2 linked regions of the Alligator mississippiensis genome follow. The protein of the gene in region 2 purifies or fractionates together with the protein of the main gene of each other region. This does not show direct contact. Links are inferred from orthologs where the notes say so. Each region holds a gene or a part of one and is shown on either strand. Other genes may lie near its edges.

The links. The genes of interacting proteins can lie anywhere in the genome.
Region 1: the proteins of BAG3 (region 2) and PDLIM7 purify together in Homo sapiens (affinity purification with mass spectrometry; 3 studies listed by BioGRID and IntAct, counting the BioPlex papers as one, with this or other methods). This does not show direct contact. The link is inferred for Alligator mississippiensis from reciprocal best matches to the Homo sapiens genes BAG3 and PDLIM7.

What each region holds. Positions count from the first base shown.
Region 1 is NC_081832.1:79,407,399-79,415,311, forward strand, and holds the start of PDLIM7 (PDZ and LIM domain protein 7), read left to right. Parts: upstream 1-4,586; 5' UTR 4,587-4,689; intron 4,690-4,941; 5' UTR 4,942-4,943; coding exon 4,944-5,048; intron 5,049-7,104; coding exon 7,105-7,256; intron 7,257-7,718; coding exon 7,719-7,749; intron 7,750-7,913. Other genes in the region: probable ATP-dependent RNA helicase DDX41, read left to right, coding at 233-369; DOK3 (docking protein 3), read left to right, coding at 2,199-2,723, 2,950-3,043, 3,174-3,346, 3,465-4,205. UniProt on the Homo sapiens protein: May function as a scaffold on which the coordinated assembly of proteins can occur. May play a role as an adapter that, via its PDZ domain, localizes LIM-binding proteins to actin filaments of both skeletal muscle and nonmuscle tissues.
Region 2 is NC_081829.1:87,292,166-87,300,298, forward strand, and holds the start of BAG3 (BAG family molecular chaperone regulator 3), read right to left. Parts: upstream 3,362-8,133; 5' UTR 3,291-3,361; coding exon 3,114-3,290; intron 1-3,113. UniProt on the Homo sapiens protein: Co-chaperone and adapter protein that connects different classes of molecular chaperones including heat shock proteins 70 (HSP70s), e.g. HSPA1A/HSP70 or HSPA8/HSC70, and small heat shock proteins (sHSPs), e.g. HSPB8.

The DNA of each region.
Region 1 (7,913 bases), on a different chromosome or scaffold from region 2:
GGGAAGGTGGCACTTCTGCTGCCGTTCTGGCCCTAGGAAGGGCTGCGTCCTGTCCAGGGAAGGGGGCACTGAGGCAGGGGAGGGCGAGAGCAGCTGCAGGTTGCTTGAGCCGTGCACTCTGGCAGTGGCTGCACTTCTGGGGCTGTTACTCTCCCAAGAGCTGCGGGAGCTCCCCCATCCCAGGCAGTGCCCTGCCCCTGCCCGAGCTCACTCATCCTTCTTCCTGTCATAGGGGAGAGGGGCTGTGCCTTCTGCGGGGGGCTGGGCCATCGCATCACAGACTGCCCCAAGCTGGAAGCCATGCAGACCAAGCAAGTCAGCAACATCGGCCGCAAAGACTACCTGGCCCACAGCTCCATGGACTTCTAGGGCTGCCCGCCGGGCACCAGCCCCTGCCCAGATGCTGTGAAGGGGTGGGGGAAGGGGAAGGTGGCTGCTCCCTGGGCAAGTGCCAGTCGCACCAGGAAGGCCATGTTAGCGCCAGGCGGCTGGTCCCTGTGTCTCGGGCAGCCACGCCACGGCCTGCTCCAGGCCCCTGGGGCATGCTGCCCATTCCCTGCTGCTCCAGAGCCGGGCTGCAGTTCTGGTGCTGGGAGGAAGTGCTGTGCCATGCAGCAACAGCCTCTTACATCAGCCCTACTGTTGACATGCTGGGATTGAGCAAGTGGGAGCCTCTGGGCCAGATGCACAGCACCGGCCCAGGGGGATTTGGGTGGGGGGAGCTGGAGGGCAGTAGGGACAGTCTGCTAGCCCAGGCCGCCTCGGCTCGGCCTGGCACAGAGATTCTGCCAGGATGCCCTTGGCCCTGCCAGGACTGTTCCCCAGTCTAGGGGATGCTCAGCATCTTCCTGGGGCTGCTGGGCTGGGCAGGAAGGGGCAGTCCTAGTCCTCAGCACCACCCCCCTTGCCTCAAGCAGGGGCTGTGAGAGCCTGCCTAGGGCAGACTCGCAGCCCCGCCTGCCCGTTCTGCCCCACTGCTCTGCTCTGGCGGAGGCAGGGCCAGCTCCACGGCTCACACGCCAGAAAGGGGAAGTGGATGCAGAGGGGAAGTCTACCCCTGCACTCCTGCGGCAGCAGCCCCAGCTCCCGTGGCCAACGGCTCCACAACCCAGGCAGCTCAAGCCATGGAGGGGCCCGTGAAGGATGGGATCCTTTATGTCCAGCACTTCAAATTTGGAAAGGTAACGGGCAGGGCTGGGCTCCAGGCCTTGCTGGCCAGGGGGAGGGGCGTGTGGTCTCGGCCCCACGCCTGGGTGCCGGGGAGGCAGCCACAACCAGCAGTCCTGGTGCTCCTGACTCTGCTGTGGGTGCTGCCTGCGGCAGGCGCAAAGGGCAATAAAAGCTGTTACAGAGTACAACGTGGTGCATGTGAGTGAGGGGGGCAGGTGTGGAAGCCCCTCGTCTTCCCTGGGGCTGAGCCCTGCTGCTCTGCCGTTGTCCCAGGGTGGGTAGGGACCAGTGCTTGCCAGCAGCCCAAGTGGAATGGGGATGGTGACTGGGGCCCAGTGCCCTCATGTGGCTTGGGTTTGCAGCCAACTACCCCACAAGCACCACGGTCCCTACAGCCGTGGTCAGGGTCTGACCATAGGCAGCAACTGCAGGCGGGCTTTCAAGGCAGAGCCTCAATTGCCTCCTGTCCTGGAGGTGCCAGGTCCCCCAGCAACCTGCCCAGCCCGGGTGCCCTTGCAGGGCACGGGAGATGCTTCCTGCAAGCTGCAACCCTGTGCCTCAGGTTGGAAACGGGTCCGGCCTAGGCTGGGTCGCAGCCCAGCTGGACCAGTGCCAGGCTGGGAGCACGGTGCCCATTGGGGCAGCCCCCATATCCCAGCACAGGTGGAGCGGAGCAGGCAGGTGCAGCCCCCACATGGGGTGGGCAGTGCAGCCATGGCTGGCGGTGCTTCTGGGCCTGTCTGCCCCTTCTCCTCAGCCAGCACGTGGGGATTGCAAGAGGAGGCTGCAGCTGCCCCGTGCCCTCACCTCGTGACCCGCTGGCTGCTGCAGAGCTTCCCCCGGGAGGAAGGGGTGGGTGGTGCTGGCAGGACCTGGCCCATGTGTCAGGTGCAGGGCTGCTGTTGGTCGTGGGCGCAAACAGCCCTAAATGGCCTGATTTGCATAGGGCCTAGGCTGGAACAGCTGGTCCACCCCACCTGCCGGGCCCCCAGGGGCAGCACGAGGCTGGCCGCAGCCTCCCAGCCCGGATGCCTGGGCTGTGTTCTCGGAGCTGCTGGGCCCAGAGGAAGGGCGTGAGATGCCGGCGGGCTGAGCCCGCAGCCCGCAGGGCAGGCGCAGGCTCCAGCTTGAGCAGGTGCTGCAGAGGCAGGGTGCCTGCACGAGGGTCTCCTTTCCCTGCCTGCCGGTGGCTCCAAGCAGCATCCTACCAGCTCCATCCCTGGCCCAAGGGTGCTGAGCCCTGCTCATCTACCCACCCCCAGAGGTCCTGGAAGAAGGTGCGGGCACAGCTGTTCGCGGCTGGCCCGTCAGGCGTGGCCCGCATGGAGCAGTTTGCGGTGCGGGACGGTTCGGGGCCCGAGAAGACATCGCTACGCCGGGGCGAACGCCGGGTGCTCCGGCTGGCCGACTGTGTGTCCGTGGGGCCTGCCGGCAGTGAGGGCTGCCCCCGTGGCACGGCCGCCTTCTGCCTCCGCACCCTGGACAAGAGCCACGTGCTGGCGGCCGAGCAGCCTGACGAGTGGGTGGCGCAGCTCTGCCAACTGGCCTTCCAGGTATGGTGGACCCTGGCCAGGGGGTGGCACAGGCGGGCGGCTGCATCCAGCACCACGGAGTCGTGGGAGGCTCAGGTGGTGCTACAGCCAATCTGCCCCCTCCCCAGCCCCTGGAGGTCCCGTGGTCAAGTCTGTGGACTTGCCCAAGCTCCATGTGTTCCCCCCTCCAGCTCCCTGCAGCTCTGCTCCCCAGGCGGTGGACGCGGCTCACCTCTCTGCTTTTCAGGGCACAAAGGAGATGGCTCCAGGCAGCAACAGGGCCTCGCCCAGCTCTGGCCTCCACATGGAGGAGAACACGATCTACTCGTCCTGGCACGCACGTAGGTGCGGGGGGCTGGTGCCTGCCCTGGCGCATGGGTGGACACGCCTTACAGCCGGTGGGGGGTGGGCTGTCATGCCCTCACAGGAGCCAGGGCTGCAGCGTCAACGTGGGCTCCGTTCCTCCGCCAGCGAACGAGTTCCCAGTACTGCTGCTCCGGACCGAGGCCTCCACCCGCTGCGGCCTGAGCGGGCGCTACCTGCTGGCCGTGCTGCCCGAGCGCCTGGTGTTGAAGGAGCTGCAGACGCGGCAGCCGCTGCTTGCCTGGCCCTATCCCTTCCTGCGCAAGTTCGGCCAGGACCAGGTACCTGTGTGGCCCCACAAGCCTGGCACCCCGTGCCCCACTTCTTCCCTGCAGTGTCGGGGGGGGGGAGGTCCTGGGGCCCTGGCCTTCCCTGCCCCTTACCCCCATCCGCCCACAGGCCATGCTGTCCTTCGAGGCCGGCCGCCGCTGCGACTCTGGTGAGGGCGTCTTCACCTTCAGCACGGGCCGCGCTGCCGAGATCTGTGGTCTCATATCCGCTGCCATCGCCCGCCAGAGGAACCAGGAGCCCTGGCAGCACCCCGCCAGCAGCCCCGAGGGGGCACCATCAGCGTCCTGGGCCCTCGAGGACGGAGGGGCCGCGCCACCCGCCTGGCTCCGGCCCGAGCACCCTCCGCCCCAGCCCTGCTCACGGGAGCCAGGGGCTCCAGACAGGGTGGACCACACCTTCCCCGTCATCTACGCCTCCATTGCCCGGGGCCCGCAGCCCCTGCCTGCTGCCGTCCGGCGGGAGCCGGAGCCGGAGGCCTGGGGCCAGCAGCCCTCCGAGCACCTGTACGAGAACCTGTGCGGCCCGGAGACAGACTGCCCGGGGCGGGGCCTGGACCAGGCGGCCGCGAGCTGGCACCGGAGCTGCCGGGAGCCACCCGAGGGCAGCAGCGGCCCCGAGGCGCCCATCTACGACAACAGCTGCATGGTGGCCGCGGCCCGGAGCGGCGCCCCCAGCCCCGTGCTCCAGCCCCGCTACCAGCGGCTGCAGGACCCGGAGGGGCCCGACAGCGCGGCCCACGGCGAGGCCACGGCCAGCAACGGCCTCCGCCGGAGGCTGGTCACGCTGCTGAGCAGGGAGGCGGCGCCGCCGGTGCCCGGCCGGACCCCCAGCCCCGCGGACCGCGCCTGAGCCGCCCGGCGGGGAGAAGGGCGGGGGCAGCGGCCGTCCCGAGGGCTCCGGCGGCGGGGACCGAGCGGGGGGCGGCGGCGCTTCCCGGCAGGACGGGCCGGGCCGGGCGCGCCTCTCCCGGACAGCGACACCCCGCGGGCTCGGGGCGGCTCCGTGCGGCGCCGGTTCCGGCTTCGGGCGCCGCGACCAGGAAATAAAGGCGGCGCCGGAGCGACGGGCAGCGTCTCCTTGAGCGCGGCGGGGCGGGGCGGGCCGGTAACGCTGGAGCCGGGCGGCGGCCCGGCGGGGAAGGAGGGTCCGGGGGCGCACGCGGGGGCCCGGGGCCCGCAGCCGCGCAAGCGCAGTAGGGGCGGGGCGGGGCCTAGGGCCGGCCCCGCCCCCGAGGGTACATAGGGCCCGGCGCAGGGAGCGCGGCCCGCAGAGCGCAGCGGTGTCGGGCTCGGCTCGTCGCGCAGTGCCGGCTCCGCCCGGCCGGGCCCCGCAGGTCAGCGTCCGCGGGCGGGCGGGGGTGCGCGGGGGCTGCGGCTCCGGGGCGGGGCGGGGCGGGAGCCTGCCCGGCCGGAGCCCCCGGTCCCGCCGCGCCCCGCTCGGAGGAGCGGGGCCGGGGCACGCCGCGGTCGCCCAGTGCCGGCAGTGCCGGGCGCGGTGTCGTCTTACACGCCTCTCATCGCCCGCCCGCGCCTCCCGGCCCCGCCTCGGCTCGCCGCGCCCCGCCGCTCACCGTCTCCCTCCCCAGGCATGAGCGACATGGACGCCTACAAGGTGGTGCTGGAGGGGCCGGCGCCCTGGGGCTTCCGCCTGCAGGGGGGCAAGGACTTCAACATGCCGCTCTCCATCTCGCGGGTAAGCGCGGCCGGCCGGGCCCGCCGAGCCATTGCCTTATAAGCCTCGGAATGCGCCGGCCGCCGCGGCCAGCTGGCAGGAGGGCGGCCCCGGCCCCGGCCCCGGCCCCGGCCCCGCGCAGGCTGGGGCTCGTTGCGGGAGGCAGCTAGCCGAGGGCCCCGGCCCTTCCCCGGGCCTCGCGCAGCCTGGCTCCCAGCTGCCCACGGGGGGAGGCTGTTGGCTGCGTGCTGGGGTCGGGGCGCAGGCGTGGGGGGGCAAGAGGCTGCCCAGGAGGTGGGGTGGGCTGGCACGTCTCGTGCCCACAGAGACACAGCCCCCGGGTCCCCTCCGCAGCACCGCGCCCTGTGCCGGTCTGAGCTTCCTCTGGGGCGCGTCGCTCCCAGCCAGGCCCCTGGCTCCAAGCTCCCTCCAGCAGCCACAGCGCTGCCCTGCCCGGAGCTGGCCCTGCCCAGGAAGGCGGCTGTGCCGGGTGGGCACGGTCACAGGCGTAGCCGAGGCTTCCTTCCTCAGCTCGTTAGTACAGCGCCTCCCAGCCAGCGGGGCCCAGGCAGTGCCCCAGGACCCCCCGACAGCCAGCGGGGACGTGTGCTCCAGGCACTCGTGCTCCTTGCCATGGGGCAGGGGCAGGGCAGGTGCTCTGGTGCGTGCAGGGCTGGCCGCGGTGTGAGCGACGGGGGCAGGTGGGGCAGGCCTGCAGCCCCATCCCAGCTGTCAGAGGTGGCGCTGGGGGCCAGGGAGAAGTGCTGAGCTCAGGCAGGAGAGGATAAAAATACGCCCTAGTCGTCAGCAGGGCTGGGGTCCTGCGGGGACACGGCCCTGCTTCCCCCTGGGCGCTGCCTAGGCCTGTCTCCAGCCAGCCAGGAAGAGCTGGGCAGGGGCCTGGCCGGGAGCAGGATGCGGCTGCAGGGCTGGGCTGAGTGCGCGAGGGGCAGCTCCTCTGCCTGGTCGGGGGGTCCTGGCCACCCGGAGGCCCGGCGCAGGCTTCTCCGGCGCTTGGAGCCGAGAGCTTTCCCGGGCTGGGCTCTGCCATGGCCCCCGGGCCCAGCCCGGCTGGGAGCGAGGGTCTGTGAGCACCAGCATCCCCGCAGGCTCCGGGGCTGGGGCGCGCAGGGGGCGGTGCCGGCATCGCGGGGGCCTTGGCCCGGGGGGAGGGGCCTGGGGGCCGCCGCCGGGATCTGGCTCGCTCCTTTTATGTCCATGTTGAGCCAGAGAAGCATTTGGCTCCAGTCCAGGAGCCTGGAGCTCCCCCAGCCCGGCCCAGGCAGCTGGAGTGAGAGCAGGCCCGGCCGCACTGCAGGCAATGCAGGGGGTAGGGGGTGGCCTGGACCCACACACCCTTCCCCCCCACCGTGCACCCGGCTGAGCCCTGCTGGGCTCCCACCCCAGCCTGCGGCCCCCGCAGAAGATGCTTCTCTCAGGTCCCCGGGGCCGGGGTGGCAGCACCACACGTCTGCCTCGAAGCTGCCCCATCCTGGCCTTGGCCCCTGCCCCTCCGCCCCGGGGCCGAGGCTGCTGTGGTGGTGCCGGCTGGGCTGGACTTTCCCGCGGGGGGGCGGGGGGGCAGCCCCAGCGGGTATCGCTGCTCACGGCTGGGATGAGGTAACGTCTGTCCGCGGACAGGAGATGGGGGAGCGACCAGGGCTGGCCAGGGTGGGAGCGCCTGTCTCCCCCCAGCCCAGACACAAAAGCCTCGGAAATGCCTGTGGTTCAGGCTCCAACAGGCCCGGGCCTGATGCATGGGCTGCGCCGGGACGGCGAAGTTCTGACTCACGCCCGGCTCCCGGGGACGGAGCTGCTCCTGTCTCGGCCGGCAGAGCCGCGGGGGGCGCCTGGTCTCTGTGCCAAGGTGGGGCCTGGCCCGGGCCACAGGCCAGGAAAAAGCCCCCAGGATGTGTTGGGGGGGAGGGGAGGACTGGGAGTAGGTACCTGCCCCAACGGGCCCAGCCCAGTGTCCCCAGCATCAGCCAGGGCAGCAGTGTGGGCACTTGGCTTCCCCGGGGCACGGGGCAGCATTGCTCACTGCCCGCCTGACTCTCTCCCTCTGTGCCCACGGCAGCTGACACCCAGTGGGAAGGCGGCGCAGGCCGGCGTGGGCGTGGGCGACTGGGTGCTGAGCATCGATGGCGAGAACGCTAGCGCTCTGACCCACATCGAGGCGCAGAACAGGATCCGCGCCTGTGGCGACCGCCTCAGCCTCAGCCTCAGCAGGTGCCAGCCCGGGCATTCCCCTGCAGGGCACGGGTGGGGGGTGCTGGGCTGGGCATGAGCAGGGTACGGTAGGGACCAGGGTGCTGTGGCCTGGTGCAGGGGTGGCAGGAGCATGCCTATGGGAAGTTGCAGGCGTGTGTGCATCTGCTGCTGGTAGTAGCCGGCTGGTCAATGGGAGGCTGCGGAGGTCCCTTTGCCACAGCCCCATCAGCTGGGCCCCCACCACCCAGCGCGGCTGTATGCCCAGGGCACTGCCCAGGCCTGGGGCATCCCACCCAGATGTGGCTCAAGCAGGAGCCTGTGTCTGGCCCTCGCTGGGTCCAGCTGGTGGCTTCGCAGCGCAAAGCTGCCTGTGTCCAGGGCACAGGGTAGAGCGTTGCACGCTGGGCACCGTGGTGCTGAGGCTGCAGGAGCCCGCACCTGCGGCTGTTGCTCACCTGGGCTCCGTCTCTTCTCTTGCAGAGCCCAGAACCTCGTGGGGAAGCCACAGAAGGTACGTGGCGCTGGGGCTGCGGGGGGCTGTTGGGCGGGCTGGGGGGCACCGGGAGACCTGACTGGCAGGACCAGGCGTGGCAGGCAGCTTCCCATGGCTCCACTCGTGGGGCTGGTGGTGCAAGGCCTGGGCACCTGCCGGCTGCCACAGCTGCTTGCTGCCTG
Region 2 (8,133 bases):
GTAATAATGAAAGTAGAGGACCACCTGGTACAAAGGCAGTCTGTTATAACTTTCTGGTTAAAATGACAATATAACTCCCAATTCTATTGATGGAAAAGGGTCCGGGGTTGGGGTTCAAGTTTTAATATAGCCCAATTCTTCTCACTTACACTACTATAAATCTGTAGTGATCTACTGAAGTCAGTAGTTACACTATGTAAACTAGTTAGAAATTGACTTAGCCTTTTATGTTCCATTTAAAAATTTTAAAAAAATAGTCACTGCATAGGTCACTCAAAAAGGACTGAAAAGGATATGGATAATTTTTAATTTGTGTTTTATCATTACTAGGGCAATCCATGGAATCAATGTTTTTATTAACTGCTTTTAAGAACTTATCAAAATGATAAAGCATCACTGAAATATTAACATGTTGTCCTTTTAGGATTAATTGTATTATAGCAGGGCAAACAGCAAGCATCTCAGTTCTACAGTCTTCAGTTAATCCTAGATATCAAGAAACCACTAGAAGACACTCTGAAAAGTGTTCTCTTCCTGCCTGTACAACTGATCTGGTTCCTTTCATTCACTATGATAAGGCTCATAATTAAAATGTGGCTCCAGAAAGTCTGTGCGTAGAGTTGAGTGTGAAAGTAAAGATTAATCATTATTTTTTTGGATGATACTTTTACTCACGCACACACTTCAGAAAACAAAAAAATATTTTCTTGAGGTCAAATTCTGAGACCTTTTCAAAGCAAAGTAGTACCTTACTGTGGAATACTCCTAAACTAAATGGAAGCAAAGATTTAGAAATGGACCCAAATCAAGGCCTGTATCAGAACATTATATAAGCAAAAGATGTATTAATATCAGTTGAAGTTGTCGTTTTGCCCATAAGAGAACAGCATTCAAGATCAACAGCTTCCCCTTTTCTTGTTTGAAAGCACTATCCTGTGTCAGGATGAACAACCCATAGCATACAAATTACAGTTTGTGAAATATAGATAATTATTTTCCAAATTGGAAAACCTGGTCATTTCATAACTGCTCCTCAGAGGCAGGTGCAATTACCCGTTTGTATCTTTCTCAGTGAAGATACAGTTTTTCCTTTTCCTAAACTACTATTTGTAACAGCATCCTTGAAACATTGCAGGAAAGGTGTCATTTTTCATTATCCCAGGTGCCAAGATAAAATAGGGCTGAGAACGTATTAGGTTTCAATCACAGATGAAGAACACTGATCCACTACCTTGGTTCAAGACTGTCCTGTTTCTGCATGATCAAAAACAGCTGAAATACAGACTTTTTCCTTTTAGTTTCCCAAGGGATAACATGTTTAGGACATAAGTCATTAAATAAGGCACTCTAACTGTAAAACAATTGAAAACTGCGCAAAACTTAAAATATTTATTACATGCCTCGCAGCAGTGCCAGTGTGGGGTCACATTGTACAGTAGGAGGGCATTCTGAATGAAGGTAAGTTAAAACTATTTCTATTTTTTTTAATTTAATATTAACAGTATTATTGAACTATATTTTTCTATGATATCTTTACACTGGTGTAAAAAAACAATTGTTTTGACGTTAAACAATACTTATCAATATGTCTTTGAAAAAGAAAACTTTCAAAAATAAAGATAGCAATGAATTTTTTTGGGGGGTAGAACTGCCGCATTCAATAAAATTTTAGATTACAAAAAAAAAAAGCAGCGAAAACAAAACACACACAACCCCTCCCCTCCCGCTGGCTCTGAACCATGTCATTTCATTTATACCAGTGGGGTTAGAAGTCACTTAACACTGAAAAAAGGACTATAATTTCCTCTGACTTCTGTCTAGCACCATATTCCTTTTCTGTTGGGTTCTTGGATCTACATTTTCAAAACGGTAGGAAAAAGCTAGCTTTACTCCATTATTTAAAATGCCGTGTTCATCTGTTGTATTTATTACTTCAAACTACATTATGAAAGACTACAAATACAAAAAAAAAAAAAAAAAAGTTACTAAAGAAATTCGCTTTCTACAGGCTAGTTTATCAGATTACATTCCAGGCCTCTTCCAAATATAATTTAAAAAAAACCTAAGATGCTTTAAATGGGTTCTGTTTATGTGTCAACCCAGGCAACAATCCTTTTTCAGTAAAGAGGCCCTAAGTCTTACCATGGCCCTGATAAAACAGCCAAGCAGCAGTGACCGCCAGAATAGTTTGCACATGTCATGATGATCCAAATGTTTCACTACCCGGCAGCAGCCTGCTCGCTTCCAGGCCTCGTCCTGCTAGTGCCGCACCATTTTGAGACAACAGCTGGAAGTTCCAACTAGTTTCCAAAGCGTCAGGAACCTTCCCTGGCAGCTGAAGCAATCAGGCCTTCAGGCTGCCGGCCAAATGTGCGGCTCCAAAGCGTCCACCCAAACTTCTTTCAGCACAGGCCTAAGCAGCTCTGGGAGCTTCCTTTCCTCCGATGTCCTACCCCGTCCCAGAGACGGTACTAATGTCATTACCGACATTAATGCCAGGACAGTCCTATTTTACCATCATTACTTAAGAGGATGTTCAGAAGTAAAAGGCAAGGGGCAAAGGTCGGGGCCGCACCGGATGATCTTATGAGGTCCCTTCTAGCCCTAATGTCTGCAAAAGTCTAAAGTTTACGGGATCAGCACCCAAAACGAAGCCGGGTGAACACAGGGAGAGAGACGCGCCCGCTGTTTTGTCACCGGTCTCTGAACACCTCCTTCCAGCTCCTTCTCTCCTGGCAGCTGCATAAACCCCGCAACCCCCCACTGGCACGGCAGAGCCTTCTCCCATCAGAGGGACTTGCCTTGCAGCAACAACAAATAAAAGACCCGTTGGCAAGGAAGGACACCTAGAAACCCCCCCAGGCGCGTTTCTTTCCCCCTCTGGAGGCTCCTCGTCTCATGGACATATTAGGAGCGGCGAGCGCAGGGGCGAGCGCCCAGCCGCGCAGCCAGCCAGGCGGAGGGGAAGGACAAGGGGAAACAAACCCACCCACCCCGTGCCAAGTCTCCGCTTCTCTCGCTGCACGGGCGGCTAAACCCGCTCGGGACTCGGGACTCGGCACGGGCAAGCGGGCGCCGGCGGGCACCGCAGTGCGGAGGGCAGAGCCGGGTACCTGGGGCCCGTGCAGGCGCGGGTCGGTCCAGGTGGTGGTGCGGCTGTTGTGGTCCACGAAGAAGGGCCAGCCCGTCTGCGGGTCCACCTTGATCTCCCAGCCCGGCGGCAGCGGCTCGGCGCTGCCCTCCATGCGCGGCGCGGGAGGCTGCGGGGCGGCAGCGGCGGCGGAGCTCATGCGGGCGGTGCGAGCCGTGCACCGCGGCCGGGAGCCTTTATGTGGCCGGGCGGGGAGGGAGGGGGTGGAAGGGTCTGGAAATAGCAGCTCGGCGCAAAGGGGCCGGCGGAGGAGGGGAAGGGGAGGAGAAGGAGGAGGAGAGACGGCCCGGCTGGAAACTTCTGGCGGCGTCCAGCCCGGCCACCCCCCGCCCCGCAGCGGTGCCGCGCGGCCGCGCTCAAACTTCAATGCATTCCCCCACCCCAATTGTTTTTGGAGGCTGCGCTTTAGGGACAAGCCGGCGGCTGATGGCTCCCCCCGCCAGGTCTCTGCCAGGCAGGGTTGTGTAACTTGTCTTGCTGGGTAGATCGGCATGCATCTGAAAGCCGTGCAGTAGGATGGTTGGCGATGTGCAGCGGGTGCAGGCGAGTGCATGTGCACCCCCTGAGCGAAAAGGTGCCCGGTGCCCCTGTGCCAACGCTGCCAGCGATTGTTACTGGCCTGCGGGTGGTCGCTGTGCCACCCCCCACGCTTGCCACCGCCACCAAAACTTCCCAGGGAGGTGGTCCTCGCCCCTACCTTGGGCAAATTCAAGAGGAGGTTGGATGATCGCCTGTCTGGGGTGTTGTGAGCCCAGCGTTCATTCCTGCCCGTGGAGGGGTCAGGCTAGATGATCTGTTCAGGCCCCTCCTGACCCTAGTTATGAAACCATGAAAAGCACCGCCGCCACCTGCGGGAGCTTGCCGGGCCCCCCAGCCTCCGGGGGCACGTGGCGTTCATGAGTACAATTAACGACGTTGGCCAAAAAAATCTCCCAGAATAGCTTCAGTCAGTTGGGTAGGGGGGTTTGTGAGCGCAGGCCTGGGAGGCCTGTGATGCGCTAGGTGCCTGGTCTGAGCTTGGTGTGCCTGCAAAATCCAGCTCTGCGAAACTGGAGTCTTGACATGCCGCCGGCCTAAAGGAGAGAAGAGACCTGGAGAGGACAGGCCGGCTGCTAAGTGGCTTCCTACTTGTCAGCCTTCCTGGGCCCTGGCACCTGTTGCTTGAGACAGAAAAGATCAGGCATCATTCGACACTGAGCCCTGTCCCCAGTACTAGTCACAAAAAAGGCAAAGACTCATCATGCTGGTACACTTAGATCAGGGTCTTCAAAGTTGTGTTATAGTGTTATGATGCATATGAGTCTGGAGAAGCACATTTTTTAACTCAGTCCCGCATCCTACATGGGTGACTGGCATCCCCACATTGGTATCATTGCAGTTGGCATCAGAATCTTTTCCATCCAAGATTTCTTTGCAGATTGTCCTGCCCATGCTCTTATTGATCCTGACTTGATCTGCTAAAATTGCATTTACATCTGACAACCTTATCATATCAGGGTGTTTGTTGAATAATTGGCTAGATCTGTCTTCTCTGCTGTATCTAATACCATCAGTACCAAAACCTAAAGGACTGAAGATGAAAATAACATAAGTGGCAGAACCTGCCTCTAAGGCTTTAATTCCTGTTTTCACTCCATAAGGCTATGTTATATCATTAGAGGAATATTATTCTTTTTTTTCCTCTACTCCTTCTAATAGTAAGTACAAAGCACACTTACCTATAAATACAAAGCACAAGGGATCCTGGTACATAACTGGGGCTCCCAACTGATGTGGAAATACAAATACATAATAACCATGGTAACTGGAAGTCGTTAGCCCTAATTGGATCCACCGATTTACAGGAGGGTTTCTGTAAGCCTTCCTCCCAAGTTACAGTCTCATGTTCCAGGGGCTTGTTATGGTCCATGGCTCTGTGGATACAGACGCACCTGTTTGAAGACTATGATCTAGTTGATTTAGGATTGACAAGCCAGTCAAATATTGTCAACTGACTGCATATTTTTTGACCAGTCAAACATTAAAGCAATTTTACAAAAAACACTTTTTTTGGTTTTCTTGACAGAAATACAATTTTTTGAGACATTTCTTAATGAATTTTTTCCTGTGTATTATTTGGACCTATTGGCAATTGTTTTACAATTTTTGACCAATATGTGACCAGTAAATTGAGTGCACTTTATTTGACCAGCCAAATATCCAGCCCTAGTTTGACTGGGTTTGTGGCTCCAGGTTTGTGGCTAGGGTTTCTATTAGGAAGAAGGGTGGATGATGTTCAGCTTGAGATCTCATATCTCAATAAGTATATCCAATGCTTAACATTTTAGGCAGTCACTCTATGATCCCTTCCTTAGATCCCACAGATTGGTTCACAACTTTTAGCTTGTAAAATGTGTAATTTTTCCATGTCAGTTCATCCTGTCCACCTGTGCTCCATTTAAGTGTGTAACCTCAGGATGGAAAAAAAAACCCCACACAGTAACTGAGAGCATATATTTATCCAAGCTCAACCAATACTCACTAGGTACAATAACAGCAGGGGCTAATCTTTTCACACCTCTTTATGACTTGGTACCTTGTTTCTCAGAGCGCCTTATTCCTCTAATGCAACAAACACAGGTTTTTTGGTCATACCTTTTATTAACTTGGTTCAATAAAAGATATAATCATAAATAATTTTGCTTTGCCCATATTTCTCCTATCACAGCTACAACAGTCCAGCCCTACTTATGCTTTTAGTAGCAGTCTTGAAATTGCTGGAGCCTTGTCAGTTCAGGACTGGCTGCCTTAGAAGCCTTCACATTTGATGGGTCCTCGTTATATATGCAGTGAAAGGCAGTATGGTTACCTTATTGCACATGTCAAACTCATCTGGCCCTGTGGGCTGGATGAGGTGTGCAGGGCTACTCCACAAGCCAGGTCAGGCTTACAGAGCAGCCCCATGCATCAGATCCGGCACTCGGGGCCAATCCAGAGTGACCAAGTCACTTGTACCATAAGTGACACATTCTCTGACTGACTGTGGACCTCATGCAGTGCACAGGGCTGGGGCTAGCACCTGCAGGGGCAGGGCAGCCCACCTCAAGCCGGTCTAACACCCACAGGCAGTACCGCAGGCTGGAAGGTAGAACGCTGCGGGCCACGTCTTTGACACTGCTGCCTTACCGACTAGACCGGTGGTCTCCAAGCTTTTTGCGGTGAAGATCACTTTTTGGAACTAAAGGGCACCCCAGGATCTACCACACGCCCACCCTGCCCCATGCATCGCTGGACCACAGAGTGTCCCAGACCCTGCTGGGTCAGGGTCCGATCCCACTTCTGTGCTGCGTCTGCACTGAGCTGCACCCGTCTGGCAGCCAGAGGAATGTGGCATCGAGACCTGGCCCGGCTGGGTCTGGAAGTCTCCGTGGTCCAGGAGCATGTGGGGAGGGGCTCCTGCTGCTGGGCACAGCCTGTCAGAGGCCCCAAGGGCCCATGCCTCCCCCACCTGTGCTTGGGATGAGGCGGCTGCTGCTGTGGGCTGCCCGCTGCACCCCGAGCACAGGTGGGGGAGAGGCATGGGCCCCCAGGGCCTCCGCTAAGCTGTGCCCAGCGATGGGAGCCCCCCCCACACACCCCCTCCGAATGACCAGATCTTCCCAGACCCAGCTGGACTAGGGCCACCCCCATGTGAGTCCCCGCTGCTGAGCTGAGCTGAGCTGCACTCACATGTGGCCACCTTGCAGCAGGGCTCAAGGCACAGTGATGGCAGCCTCTGCCACCTCCGCCCCTGAAGAAATGGGTGGGAGTCCCTCCCCCCCCCCGTGCCCTTAGAGGACCCCCCACAGGCTCCAATCCTCCCACCACCCAGCCGGGCTGGGGCCCCACTTATCTTCCCCTGCTCCTGGCTGGGCCGCACGGTCAGCTGCTTACCATGGGGGCTCAATCTGGCTCCTGCCCCTTCCCTACCCCACATATTGCCCTGCTGAAGCTGGGGGCAGTGGGTGTGCACGTGCGCACATGCCCAGCTGCCCCCCAGCCAAGGATTTATCAAAAGAGGTTTTGAGATGTACCTGTAAATCAGGATCCCCAGGTTGGTGACCACTGAACTAGACAGTGTGTCTGTTCTTGTGCACTTAAGAGTAATCAGCTTATGCACTTAACAGATATGCAGATAACTAATGCTTGTTATAATGTAAGCAGAAGGCAAAATGTTGGGACTGATGTCCTGTTTTGTAGTTGAGCATATAGTTCATGATCAAGGGACATTATTATCAGTTTACAATCCTTGCACCACTGGCCTGTTGTATTTACAGGATTTAGTTGTTTGTTTCTTGTTACCTAATTCCCTTTGAATTTTCCTAAATTCTAGCATAATGTATGACTGTAGTAGCCACTTACCTAAGGAGGCAAGGATTCCTTGTGTTTTCCTGTCTAGACCAATAGCTGATTTTAGTCAGTCAGTTCAACAGGACTTCTGCATTTCTATAGTTGTTCTCCAAACTAGATCTCTAATGAGACCTTACCCGGTCTGTAGAATTCATAGAGGTGTTCCGACGTCCTGCAGCACTCCTTCCTCTGAAGAACTGCTTGACCATGAATCACACCATGTCTCACATTGGTGTCACCCAGGAACTATGGTGAAAATTTGCTTTGGCCTGCTGGGCCATATGATAGCCTGTATTCATGTAATTCTATGTGTGCAGCTACATATAGTCACTTCAGGGTTGGCTGATGACAATTTATCAGCCAAACAGAAACAACCTCTGCAAGTTCCTCACCAAGTGGTATCATCTTGCCTTTGCTGGATGGATCCTCTAAATGTTTGCCAAGGTGTTCTGTTTCATCCAATGTCCACCCAAAGACTCTGATGCCCGAGTGTCTGAGGCAGACTGACATGCTTGCTTGGAGACACAAAGTTTCATGCAGTCTCAATTGAATAGAATTGTACTTGATTTCAGGGCTGTTTGCAAGGTGTCCCAGTCTTTCAGGGCATCATCAGA